2 linked regions of the Oryzias latipes genome follow. The protein of the gene in region 2 purifies or fractionates together with the protein of the main gene of each other region. This does not show direct contact. Links are inferred from orthologs where the notes say so. Each region holds a gene or a part of one and is shown on either strand. Other genes may lie near its edges.

The links.
Region 1: the proteins of bcar1 (region 2) and bcar3 purify together in Homo sapiens (co-immunoprecipitation; 4 studies listed by BioGRID and IntAct, counting the BioPlex papers as one, with this or other methods). This does not show direct contact. The link is inferred for Oryzias latipes from reciprocal best matches to the Homo sapiens genes BCAR1 and BCAR3.

The regions. Positions count from the first base shown.
Region 1 is NC_019862.2:18,878,112-18,881,927, reverse strand, and holds part of bcar3 (breast cancer anti-estrogen resistance protein 3), read right to left. Parts: intron 3,724-3,816; coding exon 3,484-3,723; intron 3,222-3,483; exon of another isoform or gene 2,558-3,221; intron 1,845-2,557; exon of another isoform or gene 1-1,844. UniProt on the Homo sapiens protein: Acts as an adapter protein downstream of several growth factor receptors to promote cell proliferation, migration, and redistribution of actin fibers.
Region 2 is NC_019864.2:4,911,847-4,916,330, reverse strand, and holds the start of bcar1 (breast cancer anti-estrogen resistance protein 1), read right to left. Parts: upstream 3,047-4,484; 5' UTR 2,934-3,046; coding exon 2,919-2,933; intron 1-2,918. UniProt on the Homo sapiens protein: Docking protein which plays a central coordinating role for tyrosine kinase-based signaling related to cell adhesion. Implicated in induction of cell migration and cell branching. Involved in the BCAR3-mediated inhibition of TGFB signaling.

The sequences.
Region 1 (3,816 bases), on a different chromosome or scaffold from region 2:
TCAGCCGCCTCCACAACCTGCAACAAACCAAGCCCGTTGCTTTTTTTTTTTGCTCTTTCTTTTTCTTCTCATCTTCACACAACTCAACTTTCCTTTGAAAATCATAAAACACGATTTTTGTCTCAGTCTTTTTCTGCAGGCGGCTCACATCCGGGAGCTCCATGAAGGAGGTAATTAGCTCAAATCCCTTGCTACATTAACAGGGTTGGTAGTTTAAATCTTTTAATACTGCAATGGAATTCCAATGGGAATATTAGCACAGTCCATTACTTACCATAGCAAATATGTTTAGCACTCTAAGCCTTCTTCTCCATGTTAATATGGCTCAAAATAATGAGTCGGATTTGGTTGTGTAACAGAACAGAGGCCTCCATTCACTCTAGGCACTTATCAAAAGCAGAGGCCTTTCTGTCACCCTCAAGATCAACTACAGTCTTTAGCAAACTGAGATTTAAGCTGGTGCAGTGCATAAGCCCATATATTTTAGGCAGAAGTATCACCATAAACAGCTTACTAGGCTGTCCTTTGCACACAGACACGCGTGTTATTCCAAAACACTGGCAGGGCTGCTGGAGCTCATCCGCAAATTTTCATATCTAAAGAAATCTGTGAAAACATTTATGTTACCTATTAGATAATGAAAACATCAACATGGCATTACATTATTACGGTGTTGTGCTTTTTCATTTTTGAAAAAATAGCACTTTACATAAACAATTTAGGATTCAGTGGCTAGAGTGCTAAAAAAAAGTTTTTAAATCAATTCAGCAGCTCCCTGTGGGTTGTGGTATTGATTTTTTGGGTTTGTTTAGTGGTTTTAAAGTGCTTTATGGCCCCTTCACCTCATGATGTTGCTGACTTTATTTTACATATGGACCGCTGAGGACTCCAAGGTTCTCCAACAATTCATTATCAACTATTTCTAGAGATAAGTGTAATTTTTGGTTTAGTTGAGAATTTGGCAGGATAATGAAGTTTTCTGGGATTGCAGAAATTGTTGAATAGAAATGTTCTTTCCACTGATATTTAAAGTCCTTTGTTACATTTTTTTACACTCAGAATTTCAGTTATTGTACATTTTTGTTAATTATTTGGCATAAATTAGCAGCTGAAGAAAATAGAAAGGTTCCAAATAGGGAAATGCAAAAAAAAAAATCTAATTTTAAAAATTAACATAATTGCTGTATTTTGTTTTGCTGCTAAGGCAACTGAAGGTTGGCTTTGTTTTTCTAAAGGCCTGAAACCTTTCCTAATAGTGTCCTGGCTGTGCAGTATAACAGTGCAATGAAAAACCACCACAGACTGACAACACCCTATGAAAGCCCTGTGGGTCAAATGAGCCAAAAAGGAGGGAAATTTCCTGTTTTTCTTTCATTCAAAAGTCCCTCTGACATTCAGAGAGCCATGATTTCTAATATTGTTCCTAGTTCTTGATTAAAGTTAAAGTTAATTAAATTCTTTTGGTGAACACTGACAAGGGAAATTGTAGTGAGATGGCCCAGGCATTCCTGGGTACGACTAAATTTGTCTTTTCTGCCCACATTTCTAAAACAGCATTGGACAGCGAGTTCTTCTGCCTCTGTGACCACAAAACCAACCTGCTGCACAGTCAGGGGCACACTGAGAAAGGGCTGAGGCAATGGAAAAGAAAAAAAAAGGAGAAAAAGAAAAGACGCACTTGCCACAGTCTTTTTCTGGCTATTTTCGCTCTTTGTGCTCCACCACACAATACTCAGCATGACCACAACCAGAGTTTGGGAAGACAGAGAAAGAAGGAGGGGATGGGGACGAGAAGGGAGGTCAGGAAAGTGGCAGCATGCAGGATCTGTCAACGGCCCATAGAGGTCAGTGTGCTTCCATTTAACATGTGACCAGGCTGATGATTTACAGCACCTTTGAAGAATTTTTATGAAAAATCTTAAATATCAATGCTTTATTTATGTCATAAATATATCCTCAAAGTATGAATTACACAGAAAATGTGTTTTTTTTCCTATTCATTTTGGCATAAATACTAGATTTGCACTTTCCATGCCATTTTGGGTTACCGGAGATTCTTTATATATCAAGCTGACTTAAAAAAAATATTGGATCAACCTTCCTTGACAAAATGCAATACCAAATGTTTTAAAGTCCTTAGATTATATTTTAAGCCATTATTTTGAACTTTAGGTTAAAAAAAATTGCTTTGCCATTGGTTTTTTTAAAAGTAGACCTCAGAATTTTAAAATGACTTATGCACTTTTGGATACTTTGAGTCACTAAAAAAGTCAAAGTATTTTTAACAAATTAATATTGGAAATTGCAAAACATAATTTAATCTTTTGTTGAATTGGGATTAAAATAGAATAATGAACCAGTAATTCTGTTCAAAATCAGTTTCAGAATTGGTCACATAAACATGCATTCCCCCACAAACACACGGAAATGGAAAATTATATTTGCAACTATCAGCTAAGCCTAGAAAGCAAACAGCAGGTTTTATGAATAATAAAATAAAACATTTTTCTCCATCTCTGTATTACATGCACTCTTTTCCTTTTACTCTGCCTCCCAGCTGTCCTCCTCCAAAGCTGCCTCCTCTTCCTCCTACTCTCTTGGTGGTCTTGATGTGTCCACTGAGGTCAAGAGAAAGACAAACTGTCCAATCGGAATCTGGTGCAACGTAAGGTCAGGGGCCACAGGTCGGCTGACAGCATGGGTCATAAAGACCGACTGAGCAGCAATTCCACACCTTCATTTTCTCTTTATAGGAAGCTCACATGAGAACTCTGAGGAATTCTACATGAGTTTTGGAATTTTCTTGCAAATATAAAAGCAAACATTTCTTTCAAAAAAAAAAAAAGCAAATGTACATGTTTGCGTTTTTTATTTTTCTCAAAGAGTGTCATTTCAGCGTGAAGCGTTTGGTTCATTCAGCATCATTCAGTGGGATTACAAAGCAGCTCAGTATCCAGCCACCTGCAGAGGCTGAATCTGACCCGAACAAATTATGTCAGCCGCGTATGAAACAGATCCAGTGTGGAGGCGCGCAGATAAAGGGAACAGACAAAGAGTTCACAGTAATCTGTGATCAACCCCGACACACCCGCACCTACAAAGGAAACCCAACTGCTCAGGGCCACGCGCACACACACATGAACACACACAAACGCACACAAAGCTGGCTATATCTAATCCAGCCTTTTGTAACTCTACACTCTTGACAGATAGATGGGAGGACGTGATGAGAGATGAGCTGTGTGAGCTTTCTCTGAAGTCGAGCTGACTGCCACACCCCCTCTGGGCTATATTTACAACCTTCTCTCTCTTCATGCTAACCCACCCTCCATGTCTCTGTCATGCCCCACTCTCAAGATGAGCAGTTTTTATCTTTATGGCCGTCACTTAACTTTATATTCACAGTAAGTCCAATTTTATTCAAAACAAACTAAAAGATTAAACAGGTCCAACAAAACATTTAGTTTGTATTTCAACAAGTACCTGTAACTATTAAAGTCCTCAGTGATGTCTGGGGCCAGTGAGGATGTCGTGGGTTGATGCATGTGTCCTGGAGGCAGTGATGGGTTCCTGCAAAGTGAGGCCTGATTGGCTTTAGGCTCCCATGTGAAGCTCCCATGGGTGCTGCTGTTCCCAGCTCCTCTCTTTCGCCGAGGCAGAGTTCCATGGATTGAGATGGGCTGGTAGGCTGCAGTGGGGATATCTGGTACGCCAGGAGGCAAACTTAAGCCAAAAACAAATAGAAATGAGTCAGTGTTTCATAAAAAGTTTGTTTACACAATATTTGACAGATTAAAACGAATTGGGCCTTGATGT
Region 2 (4,484 bases):
AAAGCTTATATGAACTGCTTTCTCTGACACAGTCAAACTGGACAAACCCAGTTGGATGAGTTGGTGGTTGATACATTTCATACATTGAAATCAAATTCTCTTTGAAAAAGCATAAAGTCTTTTGGGGTTTTTTTTTGTCCTATGAATACCTCTTTTTAAAGAAAAAGAAGATTGAACATTGCATTTAATTCACCAGCATTTCTATAGAGATCATCATCAGTGAGTATAAATGGGAGAATGAGACTGTAAAGCGCTTTGGGCCTTAAAGCAAGGTAGTAAACAGTGAAACATGATGGTGGCAGTATCATGCTTTAGGTTATTTTTTCAGCATCAGGGACATGTACAGAGGTATCTTGAGAGAAAACCTCTTCCAGAGTGATCAGGACCTCAGACAGAAGGTTCACCGTCCAATAAAACAATGACCCACAGCGCTCCACTAAGATAACAAAGGAGTGACTTCAGAACAAATCTGTGACTGTTCTAGACTGGTCCAGCCAGATCCCTGATCTATACCCAATTGAACATGTATGGAGAGACCTAAAAATGGCTGAACACCAACATTCACCATGTAATATGCAAGAAAGAAAGGCAGAGGATCCCCAAATCCAGGTGTGATAAACTTGTTGCATAATTTCCAAGAAGACTCATGGCTGTAGCAGCTAAAACGGAAGCTTCTACTCAATACTTAGACCATGTGACTTTTCAGTTTTTCTTTCTTGTTAATAGGCAGGAATTTCTACCTCTCTGATTTTTTCTATCAAGATAGTTCACTCAGTTTGGAGCCCCTAAAGTAATATAGAAGAAAAAAGATAGAACTGGAGAAATTCTGGTGAGCACCAGAAAGTAGGTCATGGACCAAAAAAACTCGTGTGCAGTACACTAGTTGATCAAAGCAAGTGAATCTCCAAAGCTGAAACAAACCCCATGACTTTAGAACTGGCTTTAGGCGATAACACAAAGGTGACGCCAGACAAGAAAAGCTGCAAGGTAACATAAAACTCAATAACTCATGTAATGATGACAGGGTGTGTCTTTATTGTGTAAATTCTGGGCTCCTTGTTCTGAACTGTGACGTCGTTCGTGGAAATTCTGAGGTCCTTGAACTCCTCACGGATGTCACTGCAGAACAGACAACAGGTGGGCACCTGGCATCAATCGGTTTTAATGAGAGACCAGGACGAGAAAGGAGGATAGAGAGGAGACCAGGACAGGGTTACCCGCCTCCCGGATCCATACTGCACCAGGAGAGGAGTGCGCGCAGTCTGAACCGGGAGAGGATGAAGAGGGGAATGACCCGTCCCCCGGAGAGAATGCGACACAGCGTCTGCTGTAATAAAGTCCTGGCAGGTTGGGCGGAACCAAGAGTGAGCCTCATTGCAGGACAACAACTGAGGATGCAGGGGGCGCCGCTGGATGACAACCGTCGTGGACAATGGCGACTGAATTGACTTAATTTCGTTGGAACCAGAAGCAAGGCATTTTTTTATGGGTGATGTCACACTCCCTCAGTCCAGTTCTCTATTATAGTCAATGGTCTAAAGGCGGAAAAGTCCTCACAGCACACTTTCTACACTGTTCTCAGACATGAACATTTTCATTCTTGTTTAAACTCTTAAAGTTCAAACCTTCCCAGAAAAATAAGTTAAGGACTATAAAATGAAAACAAAGATCTGATTACAATCATAGATTTATCCTCACAGTCAAACTGCATGTATAGAGAGACGGTACAGAGGAGATTGATTGATATGGACAACAGCCAATCAGAATGCAGTCAATGCCCTGCATAAAGACAAAGAAGGAAAAACTGCACTGAAAAAAATGTGAAAACGAAACGAAAAGTGAAGCGCAATATAGCGAGGGGACATGACAACTAACTCTGAAAAGTGGTCCTGTGCACAAATGACCACTTACTTTCTTCTGAGCAACAGATACTTTTTCATGCGCCTGAGAAACCAGTACTCTTTGCTTTCACTTGGATGTCCCTTCACGGGCTCCGTAAGTCAGCGCACATGACTGAGAATTGAAATGAACTTTCCTAATTTTGGCAAAAGGCTACAATGATGCAAAGAGTGAAAAATGTAACACTGTGACCACTGAATACTTTCCGTAGCCACTGTATGTTGAGCCAGTCCACCACTGAATCCCTCACAGGGAACGAACGCTTTAATGGAAAGTGAACATGAGTTTGGAATGACAGCAGCGAAGAAAATGGAACGCCAAACTGGCCGCATCCCATCGTATCTTCCTGTCAAACCTCTGCTGGCCAGGACCAGATTTTCTGTTTGGGAAAATCCCAGAACTATAGAAAGAAAGCAACATCCTTCTTCAAATGTCACAAATAGTGTCAATAAATCAATAAAGGTATAAATATCATATCTACCTTTGACAAATCAGTGTCCGATCTGCTCCAATTTACGTCACAGCAGAAATGAACAGGCACTTTTTTTACCTTCTTGTTTAAATTTACTTTAAGAGGTACATTTTTTTTGCCAACTCTATTTATTTTTCATTGGAGATGAAAGCAAATGTGCAAAACAATGTTTTTAGTGGCTTTAGACCAGTAGACCACAGGACTGAAAAACACATCCACAAAGTGTAAACTAACAGAGTGTTCTCATTTCCTAAATGTTTAAGACAATCCTAATTTTTGTGAAGACTACAGTTTCTGAAGACCCTGATAAAGCCTGATTGGTTTCTTGTTTCAACCTTAAAACGTACACATTATGTCTCCCTTATGTTGGCGTGATTACTGGAAACACGACCATAACCTTCACATAACGTTGCTTTCACAGAGATGTAGAGCAGCCCACTGATCAAACTAAAGAACCGCTTGGCGATGGAATGCAGAAGCACTGGAAAAGACGTCGCTGGAACTCTGTTGGGTGGAAAAACCCTCGAGTTCCAGCAGAACTTCTTACCTGATCGCACTGCATGCCAAAGAAATGTTAGCAGACCCCTGCAGCTAACATGATCAGTTGTTTCAGCGCAGAGAATACTGACGAACCAAATTATGCCCGACGTTTGTTGCGGCTTCTAGGTTGTTCAGAAGCAAAAGCCCTCTGTATCTGGCTTCATCGTTTCTTCCCCCACTGCTCCTGCCTGTCTTGACATGTCAGTTCTTAAGAAACAGTATCGTGCGCACATTTAATATGCAGACAGAAACCTCTACCCACGGCATTTACCTGGAGCTGCAATGGTCATTCTCTTCGCCTGAACAGAAATCAGTTCAGCATTTTTGCACCAACACCATTTCATGTTAAATGAAAAACTCTGTACAGCGTTTTCAACTCAGACTGTCACAAACTGAGAACGAAAAGACTTCAGTAGAAAAAGCATCATGTAGTTTATGAAGAAAGTGAGGGAAAATGTTTGTAAAAGAAAAAAAGCATCTGGGTTTTCCCTGAAGGATTAGCTTACTTGAAGTCTTCATGTTCGTTCTTTTCTTCTTTATGTTTATCAGCTGCTAAATATTCATGTCTCATGGAATTGTTAGGAAAGCCCATACATTTTCCAGGTGAACCTACATGTGTTGGACCTGAAGCAGGTGTGTTGCAACGCTACGCCGCACCAAACACTTCAAAATCAGGGTTTTATTTGCAGCGCCAGCTATTTAGTTATGTTTTGGCAAGGGATGATTCCTGCAGAAAAATTCCTGCTGTAGGCCGTGACTAACAGGAGTAACAACAGCAGGGATTATGTAGCCTGGAGCATAGGGCAGACTGCTGTGGGAGGGGCCTGGTGTTGCTCAACCTGCTTTGGTAAAAACTCACAAATAGCTGCCTGAGGGATGAAAAAATACAGTGGATGACTGGTTCAAAGCACCTCGCCCTTCTGCACAGCAGGGAGAATCAAACCATCAGAAGCACACAAAGCTGGTTTTCAGTCCAATAAAAACTGGATTAGCTATCCTGCCTTCAGCCTGCTGCTCCTGCTCTGTTTGCCCTTCGTGTAGCTGCTTTAAAGCCCCTAGTGGTGGTTTCTGTGCGAGAAAAGGTTCCTATTTACAGGACAAGTTTTAAGGTTTGAAGGATCAAAACAAAGAGAAATGATTATGTGGCGTTCATGAGATGCTCCACAGAGCAGGCAGTGTTTATGAGCTTTCCTAACCTACACTTACAAAGGCAGCAGAGGCCTGAGCTTAAGCCTGCTCACACACTTCTTTGACGGGCGTGGATGAGTGTGTGGTGCGGAGCTGCTATACTGTCAGCTCTAAGCACACCCATGATCCACAAAGATGTCTTCTTCACCCTGTAATCCATCCCTGAACAAAGCAGAAGTTACCCGCAGTTCTTCGGTGATGCTCTGTGTCCTCAGCAGAGCTGTGAAAACAAAGCCCCCCCCCGGACCACTCTCAGTAATCCAAGGAAGCTGCAGCTGAGCCGTCACTGTGACTCATGGGTTGTTGTTTGTGAGTTCACTGTACTGAGACCATAGGCAATCATAGGCACACACGAGCTCTACCTGAGGAGGAGGAGGAGGAGCAT